Linked DNA regions of Notamacropus eugenii. The protein of the gene in region 3 purifies or fractionates together with the protein of the main gene of each other region. This does not show direct contact. Links are inferred from orthologs where the notes say so. Each region holds a gene or a part of one and is shown on either strand. Other genes may lie near its edges. The genes, in order: AP1S2, ATG9A and AP1M1.

What was found.
Region 1: the proteins of AP1M1 (region 3) and AP1S2 fractionate together in Homo sapiens (co-fractionation; 6 studies listed by BioGRID and IntAct, counting the BioPlex papers as one, with this or other methods). This does not show direct contact. The link is inferred for Notamacropus eugenii from reciprocal best matches to the Homo sapiens genes AP1M1 and AP1S2.
Region 2: the proteins of AP1M1 (region 3) and ATG9A purify together in Homo sapiens (affinity purification with western blotting, with the first as the bait; 3 studies listed by BioGRID). This does not show direct contact. The link is inferred for Notamacropus eugenii from reciprocal best matches to the Homo sapiens genes AP1M1 and ATG9A.

The regions. Positions count from the first base shown.
Region 1 is NC_092876.1:374,165,531-374,172,803, forward strand, and holds the start of AP1S2 (AP-1 complex subunit sigma-2), read left to right. Parts: upstream 1-4,240; 5' UTR 4,241-4,269; coding exon 4,270-4,314; intron 4,315-4,670; coding exon 4,671-4,849; intron 4,850-7,273. UniProt on the Homo sapiens protein: Subunit of clathrin-associated adaptor protein complex 1 that plays a role in protein sorting in the late-Golgi/trans-Golgi network (TGN) and/or endosomes.
Region 2 is NC_092877.1:317,720,468-317,727,595, reverse strand, and holds the start of ATG9A (autophagy-related protein 9A), read left to right. Parts: upstream 1-4,029; 5' UTR 4,030-4,120; intron 4,121-4,855; exon of another isoform or gene 4,856-4,905; 5' UTR 4,906-4,963; intron 4,964-5,381; 5' UTR 5,382-5,407; coding exon 5,408-5,510; intron 5,511-5,604; coding exon 5,605-5,648; exon of another isoform or gene 5,649-5,676; intron 5,677-5,824; exon of another isoform or gene 5,825-5,897; coding exon 5,898-5,962; intron 5,963-6,209; coding exon 6,210-6,371; intron 6,372-7,010; coding exon 7,011-7,128. Other genes in the region: tRNA endonuclease ANKZF1, read right to left, coding at 1-33, 651-776, 963-1,191, 1,484-1,631, 1,728-1,840, 2,529-2,722, 2,820-2,922, 3,014-3,129 and 1 more. UniProt on the Homo sapiens protein: Phospholipid scramblase involved in autophagy by mediating autophagosomal membrane expansion. Cycles between the preautophagosomal structure/phagophore assembly site (PAS) and the cytoplasmic vesicle pool and supplies membrane for the growing autophagosome.
Region 3 is NC_092875.1:59,288,250-59,295,363, forward strand, and holds the start of AP1M1 (AP-1 complex subunit mu-1), read left to right. Parts: upstream 1-4,009; 5' UTR 4,010-4,048; coding exon 4,049-4,117; intron 4,118-7,114. UniProt on the Homo sapiens protein: Subunit of clathrin-associated adaptor protein complex 1 that plays a role in protein sorting in the trans-Golgi network (TGN) and endosomes.

The DNA.
Region 1 (7,273 bases), on a different chromosome or scaffold from region 3:
ATATTTTTATAACACTTCTGAGAGATGCTCTAGAATTAGGTTCCTAATACAACCCCTGACCTATTGTAATCAATTTATCATGACTTTCCCCCCAAGAGTTACAACTAAATAGAACCCCTATCCCATTATATTCTCATTGAGAATTTAACATTAAAATTTTGCACTTTAAATGAAAAAACTCTAGCTATTTGAGAAACACCAACTACTTTGAGTTCATGGCAAGGAGATAAAATGATTTCTGAAAGAATTTTTAGTGAGATTTTTTTTCCAGTTAAAGTTGATGAGTAGAAAATATACCTTAATGACCTGACAAATAAATACGATGTTTAGAGGGATGAAACATGTATTTTATAAAAGCCCACAATTTGGAAACCTTTGGATCTAAAGGCAAGCGGTTAATTACTAACAAACTAGTGCTTACAGCCTTCACAGTGACTGCACAATTAGCAATTAATATTGTGACTAGGGAATGAACTACACACAATCTACTGAAAAGACCATCTGCTTCTTTAAATTGTGTTCTTTATTCTTGCCAATAGAAGACCATATTTTTTAAATGGCACTACCCCTTATAATTGCTGGGTTGTTTGCAGTTGTGTTTGGCTATTAGGATTTAATAAGCCATTGTTTCAGTGGTATAAAAAGGTTATGTAATGGTTAGACTATTTTCATCTACAAATGCCATTTTCTTATTTTCATAGACCTACAAATGTATCTACACGCACAAAAAAAACCACGTTTATTCTTCCCCAACGTGTCAGAAGTATTACTAATGATTTTTATATTTGAAGGTAGATAACTCAGGATGTTTTGCTAAAAGAAGAATCTCCTCTGACTACCGGGAATAAAAAAGGCACATGCAGATGGGTGTACCCGTCCACGGGTTAACAACACATCCTAGCAGAGGACAGTGGTCACAAAGGGGGAGGCACAGAGGGAGGGTTCCCACCACCGAATTTGTGGAAAGGAAACTTCCTCAACTACAAGCAGATACATAGACCGAACTGGGAATTCGGCTGATCCCCTTCACACAGGAAATAGCAAACGTGCGCCCGGAGGAGCTGAGATCACCCGGGGCACCCCACGGCGCCGCCGGCCCGGGACTTTTCCTGCATTCTCACTGCAATACGAACCTCACGGAGAGGGTGATCTCCCCCACCCCCCACCTAGACTTGTACTAAGAACCACCAAGCAAAACCTAGCGTAAAAGGCAGGTACAGATCGCATGTCCACTTGCCGGGGGAGGGTGTTCCCCTCGCTTTCTATTTAGTAAGGACGGAGGCCAGACGAACGGCTGTTTCATTTCCAGCCCTCTTGCTTCCCCTCCTCGGAGACACCACTCCCACTTCGGTCCCCTCCACCCACGCCCAATCCCTGGAGCCCCGCCTAGTAGTCACGCCCGACCCAGGACAAGTTCCTAAGTGCTGGGTTCCCTCGCAGAACGCCTGGTGATCCATCAGCTTCCTCCCTTCCTCCCGCCCATCATCAGCTAAGCTTCTTTGGTCGATTCTACTTTAAGGAAAGCTACACTGCACGTGCGCGCGTCCCACTGCACCCCGCTCAGCCTGGACGCTGGGGTGCATCTCTAGCTCTCGCCGAAGACCATTCGGGAGCCGCTTTCTTCCCTTCCCCGCCTCCCGGCTTGGAGTATGGCTAGTCGCTTGGTTTTTTTCCCCACCTGCTCCCCCCCACCCCCGCCCCTCCACCAGGGAAGGAAACAAACAAGCCAGCGCGCGGCTCCAAGCGAAGCCCCGGACTGGAGGACGGGGAGCATGAGCCCGCCTCCGCGTGGCCGCGGACTGCGTTACTGCGCAGGCTCAGTAGCAGCGGGGTTCTGAACCTGAGCAGCAGGCTGCCTCATCTCTTCCCAGTCAGTGCCCGTACAAGTAACTGTACAGCACTCAGCCTACTCGGCGTTATGGTACTACTGGGGCGGGGGGAAGGAGGAGGAGCAGAAGGGCGGGGAGAGAGAAGGGAGGGCCAGGGGAGAAGAGGAGGGAAGGGAAAGAGCGCGCACATGCGCCGCCCGCCGGTTAGGCAGTGAGAGGCGAGGGAGGGGGAGGACTGCTGGGGGACAGGCTCCGTCCACGAAGCCGTTTCCGGGTCACGTGCGCCCGTTTCCGGCGCCCAACGGCGGAGTGGCGCAGCCCGCCCGTTTTGCAGAGGGGCGGGGGGGGGGGCGGGGGTTGGTGGTGTAGGGGGGAGATCCGGGAACCGGTTATCCCGGTTCCGCTCACCCCGCCTCCTCTCTCCAGCCCCCGCCCCGAATCCCCGGGCTCCTCCCTCGGCCGGCCCCTTGGGCGGGGCCTCCCCCGCCCCTCTCCCTCTGTCCTCTCCCCACTCCCCGCCTGCTTGGCTCCCAGACGCTCGGAGGGGGCTTTTCACTTGGCGGCTGCTGCGGGCTCTGAGAGCTGCGGGCGGCCACCGCGCTTCCCTCCCGTCTGAGGCCACAGTAAGTGTGTGTGTAGGGGGGGACTCCTCGTGGGAGCGGCTGTCACGTGGGGGGAGAAGTGTCGCCCCCCCATCGTAATATTGTCTCCTGTCGCGCGCGCGCGTGGATCTCGAGCAGAGACTTCCCGGAGTGTCTTCTCCCTTCCCCGTGGACCGCACCCCTAAGGTGACCCGTCAGGGGGGGTGGGGTGGTACACGGTGCACCCCCTCAAGCCTCCCTCCAGCTTCCATCCCGGAGAAGAGATGGGGAGCGGACGCATGACTTAATCCTGCTCCCTTTTGGGGGGGATTGTTGTGTTTGGGTTGTCTCGGGCACTCGTGGCGAGGAGCGAGCGGAGTCGCTTTACCTAACTCGGGGTCCTTTCCTGGCGCCCCCGGCAGGAGGGGATTCCCCTCTGTCCGCTCGCCCTCTCCCGGCGGGCAGAGGAGATGGATTGTCTCTGGCCGAAATGGACTTTCCCTGCCCAGGGATGGCGAGTCGGGGGACCCGGGCAGGGGGAAGTAGGGTCCTCGCGAGGGGCACGGAGCGCGGCCGCGGGCCATTGTCTCTCCCCTTCCCCTCTCGCCCTCCCTGCCTGGCGCTCCTGGAGCGTCTTTTCTGACTAAAGGAGAGCTGTGACTCCAGGAGCGTCTTGGCCATCCTCAGTCTAACAGGCAGCCCTGCCCGCCCCCTGGAAAGCACTCTTCCTCTGCCTTTCGCCTTATGTATTTATTTAAGGTCCCGGGGGTTGGTTTCACCGAGGCTCGGGCAGGTAGAGCCCCAGATTTTCAGGTAACTCGTCTTATGGGAGGATAAGTGATTCATCCAACGTGAGAAGTCGGAGTTGTGGCCACGGGCTCCCCCTCCCTCCAGCGGGCAGTCTGCACTTTGCGTCTCAATAACACAAGATCTGGGGAAATGGAATCCGTTCTATTCCTAGTTCTTCAGCCGCTTTGAGATTGGACAGAGTCCGTCAGTTTTCTTTTACGTGGAAAGGTGTACAGTCTTTGTATTATTAGCCCAATGATTGAATTAATAAATACGTTGTGGTGTCGTCCTCGTTTGGGAGGAGCTTTGAGATCCTTGGAAAAGTATTTCCATTAGCGTAGTGCTTGACCTACAGTAAGCGGTTCATAAATATATTGCAGTCCTCCTTTGTGAGGAGCTTTGAGATCTGTGGAAAAGTGTATTAATGTTATTAGCCCAATACTTGACTCATAGTAAGCGTTTAATAAATGCGTATGGACTGTTGGACTGTGTTTTGTTAAATGAGGGAGGATTGACTTAGGTTTTAATTGGTTGAATAAGATTAACCCAGTCAAAAATGTAAGACATATTTGATTATTTATAATTTTGCAAATTATTTTTTACAAAATCGAGAAAGGGCCCATTTCACAATAAAGAAATATGTTTAAAAAGTCAGCATATTATGAATGTTAGGGGAAAAATCCAGAATTACAATTGTACTTGAAATGTTAACACGACTATAAAAAAGATATTGAAAAATTACATATGAAATATGTTATTTCATTTATTCAGTATTTCCTTATTTGTAGTTTAAAAGTCAAGTTTAACTAAAATAAGTTTTCCTGAAATAATAAATTTTTAAATGGTCACAATTTTATTTGCAGACCCTAACTAAGCATACAAATATCAAATACTTTAAAAGGTAGCATTTGTGTATATATGATTTTGATTTTGATAATACAGTCATGCCCCAGTTTGGCACAGTGTGTGTTGTTTTGAATTTTTATAAAATGAATATGAGAAGAGAAATTTTGTCTGAAAGTATGGTTGATCTTTCATATTTTTATTTCTGTTAAAAGATACCAACTGAAATGTTAATTTGTCTTGAAAAGTGCCATCCGGTTGGGACAAATAAGGTATTATAAGAGAAAACAAACATGTTTTATATGACTACATCAAATGTTACTAAAACATGTTATTCTTTGCCTCTTTAAAGCGTATCAAAGGTGATGGTTTCCTGCTCTAACCATAATTATAATAATTTTTAAATTTTCAATTGCATTTCTGAGTTTGTGTGTGTGAGAGAGACAGCTCTGTGAATGATTTATTTTTATTTTTTAATTTAGTGTGGATATTATGATAATCATGTATCAATTTACTTTCTCTCTGTTCTGTTATAATGGAGCTTGTTAAAAGCTACATTGAAAAAATGTAGCTTTATCTCAGTGTGTGTAGAATCTGAAAATAAGATTTGATTTGTTTATTTTACCAGATGCAGTTTATGTTGCTTTTTAGTCGTCAAGGAAAGCTCCGACTCCAGAAATGGTATGTTCCACTGTCGGACAAAGAAAAGAAAAAAATCACAAGAGAACTTGTTCAAACAGTTTTAGCCCGTAAACCCAAAATGTGCAGTTTTTTGGAGTGGCGAGATCTGAAGATTGTCTACAAAAGGTATAATTTTCATTTTTCAGAAAGTTGCAGTAGGAGACCAAATGTTATTTAGTTCATAATAGTAGTCAAATATGAATGAAAAGTGACTTACGGACAATTATACAAAGAGGAAGACCACTTTTGTAATTAGAAATTCTTAAAGTAGACTTAAAGTGATGAAACCTTAGATGAAGTAAACTATAATATGCCTCCTTTGATGCAGAATTGAAATGACAAATCAGGAAATACTTTTAATAGATGATTCTTTCAAAGCTTAAAAATAGCTTTAATGATGAGTATACTCATTTATAAATTTATTAAGTCTTCATACATATTAACTTTTAGAAAAAGTAAATAATCATTACTCACATTTAAATAGCATTTTAAGAGCTGCAAAGCTATTTTTCTTCAACAACCCTCTAAGGTAGGTAGGACAACTATTACCTATATTTTATTGAGGTTTTTGAAAAGACATACCTTGCTTATTATCACATAGGTATTAAATGTCCAAAATGGGATTTGAACCCACTAGTATACACTGTTTAGTTTAGGCATTTTTTAAAATGTCATCTGGTTAGTAAAATTGGAATAATAATTTTCACTGAGGTTCGCCTAGACAGGTAACTAAAATACTGAGCATCAGATTTAAACTCTGGTTTGTGTTTAAAAAGCTTTTCAAAATCTGACTCTAACCTACCTTTCCTGGTTAATTATACATGTTCTTCTTTCATGTACCCGTAGGTAGGTCCAGTCAAACTGGCCTTGCTTTTGCTTACATACAGCATTATTTAAGGCCTGCTTCCATACCTGTCTCTTCCAGCCCCCAAAATACCTGGGGTTCATACTTTTCTCACTTTTGCATCTTGAAATTGTGTCTTTCCTGAACCCTGCCTGGTTGCTCATTTCTCCCTTCCTATTTCCTGAGGGAAAAAAGAATCTTTTATGTATTTTGTCAATACTTAGACACATGCATATTGTCTCCCCCGTAGAATGTAAGTTCATTGAAGGCCGGAACCTTTTTGGGTTTATAGTTACAGCACTTGACATAAAAGCAAGCTGATCATTTGAGACTGATTTTTGTCACACATCTTATATCTAAGCCTTTTCAGTCATATTGATGTTTAAAATTCTTGTTTATTTGAGACAAAGCCCACTTTGTTATTAACAAAGTTAATGCACGTTTTGCAATATCAAAAATGTGGCGAGTTACGAAGTAGTTTCATCATAGGAAGATGTTGAAGTTTGATCTCTATGAAATAACAACTGAAAATTACTCTTTATAACACGATGAGAAATATATTTTTTAATAGTAACATTTACTTCTGTGGAAAGTATAGTAGTATAATTATATTGAAACGAAAGTAATATTTCTCATAACTGTGAAATAAATTATTTTTAATCTGTAGACTTTGATTTGGGGTGTTGATTTCACCTTGTTTCTTTTCCTTTAATAATTTCATTCTTATGAAGTAAAATAACTTTACTGAGCAGAATAAAAAAGAAATATTTCAGTATTAGACAAACATTTTGTAATATGGAAAAAAAGAACTGATAATATAAAGTTTTGAAATCAGAAAGGGAAAAAAGATCAATTTTCTCCATTCCTTCTCTTTTTTAAGCATTTAAGATTGTATAAAAAGCAATTCAAAACTAGTGGTAGATGAATTTAGAGGAAAGTAAAACTGCATTCATATTATTTTGTAAAAATTGGATTTAGTGATCAGTTCTGACCTTTTGTAAGCAGTATTATTTAGAAAGAATAGAATTTTGAAATGGAAGGGACCCTAGAAATCATCCAGTCCATTCTTTCTGCCTCCCAACTTAGTGTACAGATGAGGAAACTGAAACCTCTACAAGTTGTTTCTTTTTTGTCTTTGTATCACCAGGCCTAGGTTACTATAGTGCCTTAATAAATGTTCATAGAATGACATTGTTGAGATTTGCCCAAGTTATGAAGAACTCAGGTCTCTTTAATACCAATTTAATGCGCTTTCCAGATAGTTTGGTCTTATTAATAATAACTTTATTGAAAGTTAGGGAGAAAGCATCCAATTGAATGTGTAGCCTGTGGTGTGAAAATTGATTCAATCCTTTATATTCACCAGATAGCCCATGTATTTGAGAAGTTTATGAAACTGAATAAGCTAATAGTTGGATGTGGGATATTATAATATCTATTACATGAATCTAAAAAGCAAAATGTTGGTAGGTTGAAGAACTAAACAATGATAGATGGTGGGACAAAAGAACTGAACTCAGTTCTAGTTTTATTAGTGGACTAGCTGTTTGATTGAGCAAACTTCTTTATCTGTATATTTCAGTTTCAAACTCACTGGCCAAAGTCTCATTCATTCATTTTCCTCTCTCCTTCTCCTTCCCTTCCATCCCCCATTACCTGTTTCTGTTAATGATACAACAGTTCAAGTAACTCCTGAATTGGAATAC
Region 2 (7,128 bases), on a different chromosome or scaffold from region 3:
GCTCCACAGGGGAGCTGCCTTCTCCTTCAGACTCTGAAGAAAAAAATGGAGGGTCACATTAGCAGATAGAAAGATATGGTTCTGGCATCTGTGAGCTGCTTAGATGAATGAAAATGTATAAAGATAGATAAACACTATAATTCAGAACATAAAAAAAGAGCACATTGTCAATCATTAATGGTAACTACTATTTTAAATACAGAAACCGCCACTCTACGCTGTGAAGATTGGCCCAGCAAGGACAGAGGAAGAAAGTGACTCATAATAGAGGCAAACCCAGGAGAATAGAAACTAGCAAAATCAAAAGCTCATAGCTTTGTTTTAATAACATCGTGTCAGTAGAGTAGCTCTTGATCAGGGACTTTAAGAAACTTTACAGGAGGTCTACCCTGAGAAGCCAAAGCTTCCCTGGCAGACATGACCCATCTCTATTGTCTCTCCCAAAGGAAAGCACAAATTTGAGTTGGGAAGTTAGTGATCGAAAAGTATCTGCACAGGACTGAGTCCAATATATGCAACAGAAAAATAGATATCCTCATGGAAAAAGAGGAAGATGAACTCAAATTTTGGTACCTTTTTGAGTGAAACACCTGGAAAAGAAGAGTTCTTTGAGGCATGAGAAAAACTCTACTTCACAAGGAGAGACTCACCACTCAGCCTAATGACCTCATCATCATTACTTGGACCCTTCTGACTGGTGGTCTTCTTTTTCTCACTTTTCACTTTCCAGTCTGTCTGAGGAGAATCCAATCTGGTCATTTCCCTTGGGTCTTCTCCTGTACCAAAACAGAAAGCTGTGACCAGTAGGCTCCCTAGTAGGCTCAGTTAGAAGAAGGAATACCAAGGTCCTCACCATGAAGATGTGGCTGGGGAGCCCCATAGGCACCAAATGGTTCCCTTTTACCAGAATTTGGGTCAGAAAGTAGGAAGAAATAACCTGAAGATCTGGGCTAAGCTCTCACCATGAATGTGCACCATGGCCAGCACCTGAAGTACACGTTGAAGCTCTCGAAAGGTGGGTCTACGGGTAGCAAGGGGAATATCCCACAGACGGGGATCCCCCCGGTGCAGTGGTGCTTCACGGCCCCCGAAGAAGAGAGCCTGGCCAGACCGGGGAGCTCGAAGCAGTATAGTCCCTGCCTCCCCCAGTGGCCCTGCCCAGCCTGGCCCTGCCAGCAGCTCTCGAACCTCCTAGAAGAGACAGCAGCTCAGCTCCACAGGCTATGTTCCATCCTCCAGCCAGGCAGTGACTCAAGAATCATAGATTGAGGGAAGACATAGGAGGGTTAAAAATTAAAGGGAGTAATGCCCCTGGAGATTTCCACTCTAAAATTTCTTCTTAGGAAAAAGCAATGTTGGTAATTATTTTTAAAAAAAGGGGGAGTGGGGGCAAAATCCTTCCTATTCCACTTATGTTAGAAGAAACTAAATTGAGGGAGAAGAAAATTTTGAGAAAAGATTCTGAAGGAGCTTCATGACCCACCTTGTATAGTGCAGCTTCGTTGTAGCGCCTCAAGTTGGCTCCAGCAGAACGAGAACCTCCAACACGGGCATCCTGAAGTCCCTGAGCTGTCCCCTGCCGTGCCCGGACAGTGTAGCGGTGAAATGTTTTGTGTGTCACTACTTCTCTCCTACAAACAGTATATTCAGTCCTGAAGGTGAGAGGGCTTTTCTGAGAAACTAATCCTGCACTCATCTCAACACTCTGTTCAGTTTTTGCTTATTACCCTCTGAAGACAGCACCAGCAAAGTGACCAGCTGCAGCCATGAGGACCACACAGCACTGAGGACCCCCACCCTGTAGGGTCTGCAACAGCAATTCTGCCTCCTTGGCGGGGTCCTACAAAGATAAGGAAGAAAACATTAGCTCAACCTACTGTATCTTCTGCAGTCTGCTCTCAGAACTTAATAATTCACCCTTAGTAGCAACTAGGTAGTACAGTATAGTACTGGCCCTGGAGTGAGGAAGACCTGAGTTCAAATCCAGCCTCAGACACTGTATGACCTTGGGAAAGTCGCCTAACCTCTCTCAGCCTCAGTTTCCTCATCTGTAAAATGGGGATAATAATACCATCAACCTCCCAGGGTTATTGTGAAGATAGATATATTTGAAAAAGCTTTGCAAACTTTAAAGTGCTATACAAATGCAAGCTATTATTATTACCATGCCACCATCAAAGTACAGACTATCTCAGGTCTAGGGAACCTTTGGCCCTCTAGGTCCTCAAGTGCAGCCCTTTGACTGGGGATTTGTTCTGTGAGGTTTTGATATAAAGGGCCAAACTTGAGGGCCTAGAGAGCCTCGTGTGACCTTGAGGTAGTAGATTCCCCACCCCTGGACTAGCTCAACCCATGGCACTTGTTCCCATTTTTAGCACAGTGCCTGGCACACAGCAGGTGTTTAATAAGTGTTTGTTCTATCCATCCAAACTCAGGGAAGAGGTGAGAGACAAATGTACAAAATGGAAGTCTAGGCTAGAGGGGACAAAAGAGTTGGAGCAAACAAAGAAACTGAGGAGGTTACTTGCCTGTCGAGGACCCAGGAGGCATCGAAAGGCAGAGAGGAACTGGCCCTGAGCATTACAAAAGAGGACACGGTGTGGGTGAAAGCCACGGTGGGAGTCTGGTCTCCTTAGCTCCACCAGCTCCTCCAACTTGGCCTTTTCTGCCTCGGAGTCCCAGTCCGAGTCTTCTTCTGAACCCGAGATACTGGAAAAGTCTCCTGGGGACAAGGTGGGGGGACTCATGTCATACCCCTCACCTTCCCCAAATTCCCTGGCTGAACCCCTCCACGGGCTGTACCTGTCCCCACTGGTCACCTGAACAGCTCTGCTTCTCAAACTCGTGGGCAGACAGGGGAGGCTGGCCCCTGAGGCGCTGCTTCAGGTTAAAACGATGCCAATCCAAAGTGTAATGCTCCCTCTGGTGGAATGCAGACTCAGCATGAGCTCCAGCCCACCGGCCCCTGCCCCTGCCCAGTCCTGCCCCGCGCACTGCAGTCCGATCCGGGTACCTGATCCTGGCGGCTCTGGAAGGACTGGATGCAGGCCGAGCAAAACATGCGATCGGAGACTTCAGCGTGCCCCTTGGGGACCTCCTGTCCCCCGGGGCTGGTCTCCTTCTCGGAGTCTGGAATGAAGGGAAGGAGAGAACCTCAGGGGCGGCCAGGGCCCACTAAAACCAGCGGGGCCAACTGGATCTCCAGCCCTTTTTGCCACACCCACACAAGGCCATGGCTTTGCGGGTGTTCGGGAGGGGCGCTGCCCACGGACAATCTTAAAATCCGAGCACTGTGGCTGCCGGCAGTTCAGGGGGAATTCTGTAGGTTTGCCGAACAAAAACAAAACCCCAGCGCACCCGCGTGGTAACTTCAGATGACCGCGCAGAGTAAGTTCGCCGCGCTCCCCGGGGGATCCTCCCCGGGCAGTCACAGAAAGGCCGAGGCCCACGGGGGAGTCCCTCCCACACCGCCCCTCCCCGGGGCCCTCGGCTACCTGGACCCGCCGGGGCCCGGGGCAAGGCCGCGCCCTGCGCCCGGCCCACCAGGCGTAGGCCCTGCAGGAGCGAGTCGCCTGCCCTGAGGTCAAACACGGACACGGAGGCCTGAGGCTGGGCTCGAACTGGGCCGGGCGGCATGGCGGCGGCGGGCGGGCGCCTCGGCTTCCACGTCCAGCAGTCGGGGCGCGACTGAGACCCCCGGCCACCTGCGCGTTACCAGGGCGACTGGCTCCAGCGGTGACTGCACAGTGTCGGTGCGGCCCACGGGAAGGCCCTCGGCGCCGAGGCCGTCTCAGTCCCGCTCAGCTCCCAGAAACATCACCTCGGGTCCGTCACTACGGGGCCCCAAGAAGGACATTCCGCGGCGCCGTCTCTTAGCCTCGCCCTCTAAGGAGCCTTGTATTGGTCCCACTAAAGCTCCACCCGCTACGCGCCACATGTCCCACCCCCGCAGCAAGGGATTGGTTGTCGCATCTCCACCCCCTGTAGTCATTGGTCCGACTGGCTGCGGGAGACAATGAGTGGCATCCGCCCGGCCTAGTGCTCGGGTTGGGGCCGGAGTCGGAGCCCTGGACGCCAGCACTTCCACCGCTGCCTGGGCTTAAGGAGGAGCAGAGGACCGGTAACCGGCGACGGGGGGCCTGGGACAGGACGGGGCGTACGTGCCCACTGAGCCTGGAACGACCGAGGCTGGAGGGGGGGAAGTTGTGGGGGAGGAGAAGCGGGGGCGCGGTAACTGGGGGGAACCGGGCGGGGACGCGCGCTCCGGGTGTTTTGATCACTGGGCACACGCGGGCGGGGGCGCGCTCCGGGAAGGGGGCGGGAGGTGGGGGTCCGGGAGCGCGCGGCCAGTTGTCCGCGACCGAGCGGCCCGGAGGCCCAGGAGCGGCCATGGGAAAGGCCCCTCCTCGTCGGGCTTGTAAGGCCAAACCGGGAGGGAGCCGGCCCCGGGGAAACCTGACCCCGTGGTTGCGGTGACCCTGAGGCTGAGCCTGCCAGCCCCAAGTCCGCTGACTCTGGGTCTGCTCTGGCAGGCATTGCCGGGGCCGTGGGAGGGTCGGCCGCCGTCACGATCTAGGGAATAGGGAAGCCTATTCCAAGTGGGCTTCGCGTTAGCCCCGTATGGGTCTGGTCTGAGGGCTCCTAGAAGGTCAGTTAATAAGGGTCAGGAGAAGAGGCAGCCTGGGCACCCTGACCTGGTGCTCCTAAGGCGGGTAGAACGTGTTCTGGGGCCCCGAAGCTCCGAGTAGCTAGCTGGGCTGTCCACATAGCCGGAGGAAGTACTTACCACCACCACCAGTGCCCAGCTGGCCTCATCTTGGGGTGATCTGCCCTTAGTTTCATTTTCCTCTGTTAGTCTCATCCCTTCTCCCACCTCCATTGTCTGCCTAACACCTCCTCCTGCAGCTGCAGAACCACTTGGGCATCCAACAGTGGAGTGGAACAAATGCTGTCCATGGAGCTGGTAGGTGCCCTGAGAGTTATATAAACCCTTTGTTCACGACGTGCTTCCTTACCAGTGATTAATCAATCAATCAAGCACAATCTGGATTGCCTCTTTTATTCTTATAAAAGACTGGGATACCTTCTGCTAGAGGAGGGGGAACATGAATCATCCCCTTAAGTGAAAGTGAAACTCATTCCCACTTGACAGGCCACACCTAAAAATCATCCGTATCCTAGCAAAGACCAGTAAAAACTCCATAAAGTCTTGTTGAATGATTTAGCTGAAGCTAGGAATCATAACTCCTAAATCAAGGCTACACAATAAAGCCCCATTCCAAAAGGAAAAGCTGGTGACAAAGATTGAGTTGAAAGTCTTTCCACTCTTTGCTCATGTGCTGAATCAAAAATAGCCCCCGTTTTTCCCTTATTCTTTTGAGGTGGACAAGGCAGGTAGGCGGTGGTGATGGCACAGTTTGACACAGAGTACCAACGGCTGGAGGCCTCCTACAGTGACTCACCCCCTGGAGAAGAGGACTTGCTAGTACATGTCCCTGAGGGCAGCAAGTGTGAGTCCCTGGAAAGAGGATGTTGGGGCAGTTTGGGATGTCCCTTAGTGGGCAGGGAAGGGATGTCCTGACTTCCTTCTCCTTATTTCCACAGCCCCTTGGCATCACATTGAAAACCTTGACCTCTTTTTCTCTCGGATATCCTTTGTTGTTGTTTACAGGAGAGGTGACTGTACCCAAACTCAGATACTCTCTAAGCAAAGTCCTGAGAGGGTAGGGGGGAAGTAGGGATGGGATTGAGACTGTACTCCTAGGAACAAAGATGGAGAATACTGAAGGGTTAAGAGGGACTAAGGAAGATGTCCTTATTGTAGGGTGTTTGGGACCTACCTTCTTTATGGGATCCTAGGCCCTCACCTATCCCAAGTGCTTTCTTAACGGCCACACGTCTATAACCTGCACCAGAAGAATGGCTTTACATGCATGCTCATTGGGGATGTGTTTGAACTCATGTAAGTAGACTGAAGGGGGAAGGGCTTCATCCTCCTGCTTCCATTTCAGTGATTTCATATAGGTCATTGAGCCTAAAGAAGCGGATGTGGCCTTGAGTTGGGGCCACACTTAGCTCCTTTCTGCCTCTTTCTCAACAAAAGCCTATCCTTCACCTCCCACATGTCCTTTTAATTTCCTTTATGTCTCACTGTTGTTTCCTCAACACCAGGAGACACCCAAGCACCTTCCTACTTCTTTTTCTCTTAGGCAGTTTCTCTTTGTGGTGGCCTTTACCACCTTTCTGGTCAGCTGTGTGGATTATGACATCCTCTTTGCTAACAAGATGGTGAATCACAGTCTGCACCCTAGTGATCCTGTCAAAGTCACATTGCCAGATGCCTTCCTGCCTGCCCAGGTGTGCAGTGCCAGGTAAGGACCCAAGGTGATAAAAGTGCTGTTAAGTTTCACTTGTTATTTGGATAATGTGCATTAGCTGGAGGAGACAGCAAGCAGCTTCAGGAATTCAAAATAGCATTTTAAGCTTAAGAGACTTTTTGTCCTAACTATGGAAGACCCTGCTGATAACAGAAAGACTGCTACACCTTAGTTGATATTCCTTTCCTTTGAAGGTGCCCTTTTTCTGTAAATTGCTTTTAATGGATGACATTGTATTTCTCTTGTATGTAACATATATAAACTTGCCCTTTGGGAAGAGAAGTTTTAAGTCTAAATGTCAGAGAGAGTGTGTGTGTGTGTGTGTGTGTGTGTGTGTGTGTGTGTGTGTGTCTGTCTGTCTGTCTGTCTGTCTGTGTGTCTGTGTGTGTGTGCCCAAGCACATTTTACTTTGGTTTCTTAGCACAGCTCAGTACATGTTGAGGCTAAAAATGGTGGCTGCAGTGGCTACTGTCATACAGTCAGTTCTGGGGAACATGTGTGTGTAGGATGCCAGCCTGACCTTCGAACACAAGTTCAGGTGTAGCAACTGGCTTGCAGAATGGCCTTTGAGGGCAGTCTGTACAAAAGTTAGGCAGGCAGGTGGGTCAGGGTGCCTGTTCCCCTCCTTACCAGGATCCAAGAGAATGGCTCACTCATCTCCATTCTGGTTATTGCTGGCGTCTTCTGGATCCACCGACTCATCAAGTTCATCTACAATGTTTGCTGCTACTGGGAAATTCATTCCTTCTAC
Region 3 (7,114 bases):
TTATTAATATCTGTGTAGTCTTCCCCATAGAATTGTAGGCTTCTTAAGGACCGGGATTGCTTCATGTTTGTCTCTATGTTCCTGGCACCAAGCTTAGTGCTTTTAATAAATGCTTGTTGCTTGTTGACTGATTGATTGTAGTCAAGGTATAGATGATTTTCCTGGTTCTGCTTTCTTCACTGCACACTACATACAAATATTCCCATGTTTCTCTGAATTCCACATCATTTCTTACAATAATATTCCATTAGATTCACAACCTACAATTTCTTTAGCCATTCAATCACAAAATATTTGCTAAGCACCTACTAGGCACTAGGCACAAGGTAAAACAATCCCTGCTCTCAGAAAGCTTCCAGTTCTATCAAGGAGATGACACGTACATGCAGAAGCATACACAAAAAAACAGCTAACTTCTGAGGGGAAGAGACCAGCAGCTGCAGGGATCAAGAAAGGCTTCTTCTAGGAAGTGGGGCTTGAGCTAAATTTTAAAGGAAATAAGGGATTGAGAAGCTAAGGGGAGAATATGTAATCCTAGTGTGGAGGTAAGTTAGTGAAAAAGGGGGAGAGGGAACAAACATTTATTAAGTGCCTACTATGTACCAAGCACTTGCTAAGGGTTTTTATCAGATATCTCATTTGATTCTCACAACAGCCCTGGGAGGTACATGTGATTTACCCTTATTTTATGGTTGAGGAAACTGAGGCAGACAGAATTAGTGTCTTGCCCTAGGTCACATAGCTAGTAAGTTTCTGAAGCTAGAATTGAACTTTCTGACCCCAATACTTTATCCACTGTGCCACCTGGCCATCTCCTCAGACATTCCTCAGTGGATGTCCATTTTGTTTCTACTTCTCTGCTACCACAAAAAAAAAGTTGTGCTATAAGTAATCTGGTATACATGGGATCTAGCTTCTGCTACTGGAGTTGATAGTGGTGGGCCTGGGCAAGAACTACTTCAAGCCTGAGGATACAAAACCTGGTAATACATCTCCTGCCTTCTGACCTCAGGGCATGGGTTCCTCTCCATCCTTCTCTGTCGAGGAATGAGGCAGCATTTAAGATACTGATTACTAGTTATCTGGGACCAGAGAAGACTGACCTGGTGAAGGACAGAAAAACAGCTTGGGATAAAGGTAAGGGTCTTGTACAAAAGTGCTTGTTTATTTGAATTGAAATGTGGATAGTCACTGGTAAAGATAAAGTTTATTCTGCTGAGCAGGATAAAGGAGCAGGAGTCATGGATCCTATGATGAAGCCTATGGACTCCTTCTCAATCATAATTTATCCAAGTGAGGTTCCACAGGCCTGCCCTCCACACTACTGGGGAGGGTGTGGCTGGTAGATTGCTTGCGCTCAGGTGTTCCGAGCTTGCAGTGGAGCTGAAGTTGATCAGGATATCTACACTATGATCAGCACCAAGATCATGAGCCCTCGGGGCAAGGGAGGGGAGGAGGATGAGGAAGGACACCAGGCTGCCTAAGGAGGGGGTGACCCCGATCCAGGACAGAAATGGAGCAGGGCAAAGAAAGTTTTCCTGCTGGTCAGCAGTGGTCATTGCCAGAACAAGACAGGAGACCCAACAATAAAATAAAAATGTTCTCAAATGCATACAATAAAAAATGTAGGATTACAAAAGAAACATTGAAATAAAAATGTAATTTGTTTCCGTCTAACTTTACAGGCCCTCTGAAACTATCCATGGACTCTGTATTAAGGATCCCTGCTGCAGAAGGGAGGAGGGGAGAGAACAAGTATTAAGCACCTACTATGTGCAAGGCACTATGCTAAGTGATTTTACAAATATCTCCTTTAATCCTCTCCACAACCCTATTACTATCCCCATTTTACAACTAAGGAAACCGAGGCAAGCAGAGGTTAAATGACTTGCCCAGGCTCACACCGCTAGTAAGTGTTTGATGCTGATCCAAGCCCAAGGCTCTCCTCACTTCCCCCCCACACCTCCGCCCCCCTCCCACTGCCTCCACCTCTGGTGCTCTCAGCCACAATGCTGTAGTCACTCGCAGCTCCAGAATCTGTGTTTTCAACAAATATTATGTGGACCCATAATGCAGACTGCTAGGCCGGGAGTCAGGAAGACCCGATCTCAAATGCAACCTTAGATGTTAGGTGTAGGAGTCTGGGCAGGTTATCTGACCTGTTTGCCTTAGTTTCCTCATCTGTAAGACGGGGATGATGATAGCGTCTGCCTCCCAGGGTGGTTGTGAGGTAATAATGGTAAAGTGCTTAGCCAGTGCCTGGCACGTACACAGTAAGTGCTATGTAAATGTTTGCTTTTATTGCCTTCCATATGGGGAAAATTAGAAGTGTAAATGGAAACAGGCCCCTGCCTTCGTAGGGCCCAAAGCCCAGTAAAGGAAATTCAACAATGTAATCTTAGGAGAGAAGTCTACTGGAGAGAGGGCTCTGTGAGGTCTGAGGGGAAGGTGGTGACACGGGGTTCGGGGGGTTTCCAGGACCGCCATGTGAGTTCAGTAAGGGACTGAGCAAGGAATCCAAGTTAAGAGAGCAGTGGGATGGAGCGGGCGATGCAGGGCCTGTCTTTGGACCCGGGAAGACCCTGGGTTCAAATCCCCGCTTTGACACAGGCTCTGTGACCCCAGGCAAGTTTAATGGTCTCTTGGAATCTGTTCTAAGGGCCCTCTTAGCTCCCCCATTCTATGCTCCAGGGGCCTTGTTCTAGGGGCCCCTCCCGGCCCAGATGTTCCCTGCCCCAGGGACCCCTCCCGGCCCAGATGTTCCCTGCCTCAGGGGCCCCTCCGGGCCTGACGTTCTCTGTTCTAGGGGCCCCTCCGGGTCTGACGTTCCCTGCCCCAGGGACCCCTCCCGGCCCAGATGTTCCCTGCCCCAGGGGCCCCTCCCGGCCCAGATGTTCCCTGCCCCAGGGGCCCCTCCGGGCCTGACGTTCTCAGTTCAGGGGCCCCTCCTAACTCTGACGTTCCCTGTTCTAGGGGCCCTCCCGGCTCTGACGTTCTAGTTCTAAGCTGCCCTCCGGCGCCACCGTTACGGATATTATGACTATCTGCGGGGCCTGGCAGGCTCCGTCACTCTCCGTCTCCTCCATCTCCTCCCTCTCGAGGTTTCCCCCTCGGCCCCAGGGCTGGGCCGCCGCCTGAGCTCGCTGCCGCCTGAGCTCTGGGAGGACGCATGGCTTCATCGGAGCTCAGTGCGCCTGCGCCTCGGCGGCGCGCGCACGGAGCGGACGCCCATGCCCTCCCTCCCCTGCGCGTGCGCCAGAGGCCAAAGGCCGTTTCCCAAGCCGGACATAACGGTTCCAGGGCGGAAGTGGAAGTGAGGTGCCGCGGGTCGGGTGCGCCCGCCTGCTCGCCCCGGTGCCGCCGCCTCTCTTGCTGCCGCGCCTCGCCCTCCACCTCGCCCCCTCCCCGCCGCTGCCGCCGCCGCCGCCATGTCGGCCAGCGCCGTGTATGTGCTAGACCTAAAGGGCAAGGTAGGGAAACCTGGCCTCGGTCCGCGCCGCTTCCCCCCTCCGCGTTGCCTGGTAACGGCCCCTCCCCAAGGCAGGGGCGGGGACTTCCCCCACCCGCTCGCGGTCCCTGTCACCCTGTCAGTGTTTGACCGCCGCCTTGCCTGTCCTGGTGGCAGCCCCAGCCCCGGGGCAGCCCATGCCATCCACGAGCACTTTACAGTGTGCCAGGCCCTGGGCTAAACTCTGGGGATACCGAAGATGGGCAAGAGGCAGTGCCAGCTCTGCCGTGGGACCCCAGACGTCGAGCTGGAAGGGGCGTCACGGTTCAGACGCGGAGCATCCGATGGCATTTGAACCCAGGGCCTCCCACGACCCAGCCGGCGCCCTTCTCGCCCCAGCGCGCTCCTCTGGAGGAGGGCGCCGGGCAGGGCTAGGAGAGAGAGAAAATGCCCTGGTGGTAATGGTGCCAAGGTCCACGTTCAGTGCCTTAGAGACGCACAGAGCGAAGGCGCCTGACTGGGCCCTCAGGCCATAGGGATGAGAGGGCAGAAGCCACGGTGCCGCCGCAGGGCGAGGGGCCCTGTCCGACCGGAGCTCCGATGGTGGAGGGGGGAAGAACGCGTGAAAAAGTAGGGTGGTGCCGGGCTGTGGAGGCCCTGGGCTGTGTGGTGAGTGCCGTCCCCCCCGGTGCTGACCTGGCGTCCCAGGCCGCCGATCTTCCAGCCGTCTCCGTCTTAGTGGGTTCCGCCGCGCTTCGGGCCAGCTCTCGTCGTTAGGGTCCAGACTGAAATGGCTTCTTTGCAGCTTCCACGTTGTCCTTAGGTCTCTTTCCTGGGTCTAAACAGAACAAGTATTTCTTCCCAAGTAACTGCCATTCAGATAGTAGAAGACAACCGTCCTATCCCTCCTAAAGCTCTTCTCCAGGCTAAAGAGCCCTTGTTCCTCCAACCAGTCATCCCCTGATGTGCATTCAAGGTCCTTCACAGTTCTTTTTCCCCCTCCCTGGGGCATTTTCCAGCTTGTTAATGCCCTTCTTAAAACATGGCGTGCAAAATCAAACAGTACTCCAAATATGGTCTGACCAAAACAGAGTAAACTCAGCAGAGAATATCTATCTGCTCCCCCTTTCTGAATACCCGTGCTTCTTAGTTTAACATCATTCGGCTGTCCTGTCACCCTGTTGACTCATATATTCAGCTTGCAGCCCACTAAAACCACAAGATCTTTTTCATATGAACTGTTGCTTAGCCGTGCCTCTTCCAGCTTGAGTAGCTGACCTTTTTAAACCCAAGTGGAAGACTTTGCATTAATCTGTTAAATTTCATCTTATTAAATTTAGCCCAGTGTCTTAGACTGTCAAGTATTTTTTTGGATTCCTAGCTCTGCCATTTAACCTATTGGCTGTCTCTCCTAGCTTTGTGCTTTGTGCTTATTTCATAAGTGTGCCATGTGCACCGTTTTCCAGATTATTGATGAAAATGTCCAATATTACAAAGCCAAGCACAGATTCAATGGACACTGCAGTAGAGAGTCTTTTACTGTGCTTTGGGTATGGCCATTCAGCCAGTTCCAAATCCTTCTAATTGTGTTACTGCCAAGCCCATACTTCTCCATCTTGCCTTCAAAAATAGCATGAGAGTCTTCATCAAATGCAGAGAAGTAAACTGTATCTATCACAGTCCCCTGATCTACCCTATCAAAAGAGGAAATGAAGTTAGTCTAGCATGACCTGTTTCTGGTGAAAGTGTGACACTTTGTGATTACTACTTTCTTTTCTAAATGTTCACCACCTGAAGATAGACCCCTTTCAGTGACACATTCTAGAATTTTCTAGGAGTCAAAGTCAAGCTTATTGGACAATGAGTTTCATATTCTACTCTTTTCCCTTTTATGAAAATAAGAGACATTTGCCTTTCTCTAGCCCCAACACCCCTCTTCTTCTGCCTGATCCTTTAAAGATGACTGATAGTGGCTCAGAAATAGCATTCAAAAGTTCTTTCATTAGCCTGGAATGTAATTTACCTGGGCCTGGTCACTTGAACTCATCAAGGGCAGCTAACCACTCTTTCAGTGTCTCTCCATTTGTTCTGTCCTTTCCAGTCCAAAGACCATTCTCCTTAACACAGAAACAGAAGTAAGGTCCTAGTTGAATAATTGTCTTCTCTCCATTCATTATCATTGTCCCATCTACATTGAATACTTCTTAACTCTTTTCTCCAGTATAGCTTTTAAAAATCTTTTTTTGTTGTCCTTAGCTTTCCTTGACAGTCTTAGTTCATTCTGACTTTTAGTGTTCTAGTACCTTTCTTACAGTACTTCAATTTGGCTTAAATAAATTATTTGACATCTTTTTTGATGCTGCATATAATTCCCAGTAAATACCCAACCACATCCCTCCACAAAGTACATTCCCTGGAGAAGAAAAGTAAGTTTATTGATTATTAACAGAAATGTAAGGTGTGTCCTTTAACTTGGGCAGTATTACATTGACCGTTGTTTTTTACCAGAATTTTACTGCTTCTCCAGTGTTAATTGTATTTACTCTCATTGCATATGTTGTTCTTTTGTCTCTGCTTCCTTCACTCTGTATCACTTCATATGAGTCTTATAATTCTCTGAATTCTCTACATTTGACACTCTTTATGGCCTAATAATTTTCCATTATATGCATGTAGAATTATTTGTTCAGCTAGCCAATCATTGGACACATAGTTTGTTATTATAAATAAAACTTTTTTTGTTATTTTTAAATACTGTTAATGAACAGTTTTGGGAGAGTTCTTATCAATTGCCTTTTATTAATAATAGCTGACATTCTTATAGCCCTTTTAAGTGTTACTATACGCCTTATGTAGATTTGTATCGAATTAAAAAGAAATCTCCTCTGCAGAACAGTAGAAGATCCTGTAATCAATCAACAAACATTTATAAAGTATTAACTATGTTCCAGGTACTGGAAATATAAAGACAAAAATGAAAGCCTCTTCCCTCAAGAAACTTACATCCTTTCAGCATATAGTAGTCATTTTGAAATGTTTAATAAAATTGAATGAGTAGATTCAACAGGTATTGTCAGACTTCCTCTCAGGTACTCACTGCTGGCCATCAGTTGTGATGAAAGGGTCTTTCTAATCTAGGTCAGTGAACTCATTAATTCTATCATTTAGGAAAAAACTCTTAGACCTAAGTTAAAAAATAGCTCCCCTCCCCTTCCTTGCTTGTCAGCAAATCCTCACAATCACACCACCATACTTGTCCGTTTAAGTTGTTCATTTTCCAAATGAAGGAGCAGAAGTCCAGAGGGAGGAAGGAGCTCAGAACACCACAGAAGAAGAAGGAGCGACAGAGGCATGACCAGAATCTAGGACTCTAGATACCTAGCTCTTGGGGTCACCTAATAAGTCTGAGGCCTCTTCCATATGAAAATCTTTAGATATTTTGAGGACAGTGATTATGGTCCCACCAAGGTATCTAATGTAGATACTCTTACTTCTTTTACCTAATGGTTTCAGAGAATGGGCTCGATTAGATGATCTCTGAGGTTCCTTCCAGTTTAGATCCTGTAATCTTACTTGGAATGAGCTGTAGCATGCACACATCACTTCTTTCTAAATACTACTGTTCTGGCCTCTTCTCCCTTCATATCTAGAATCTTCAAGTCCTTT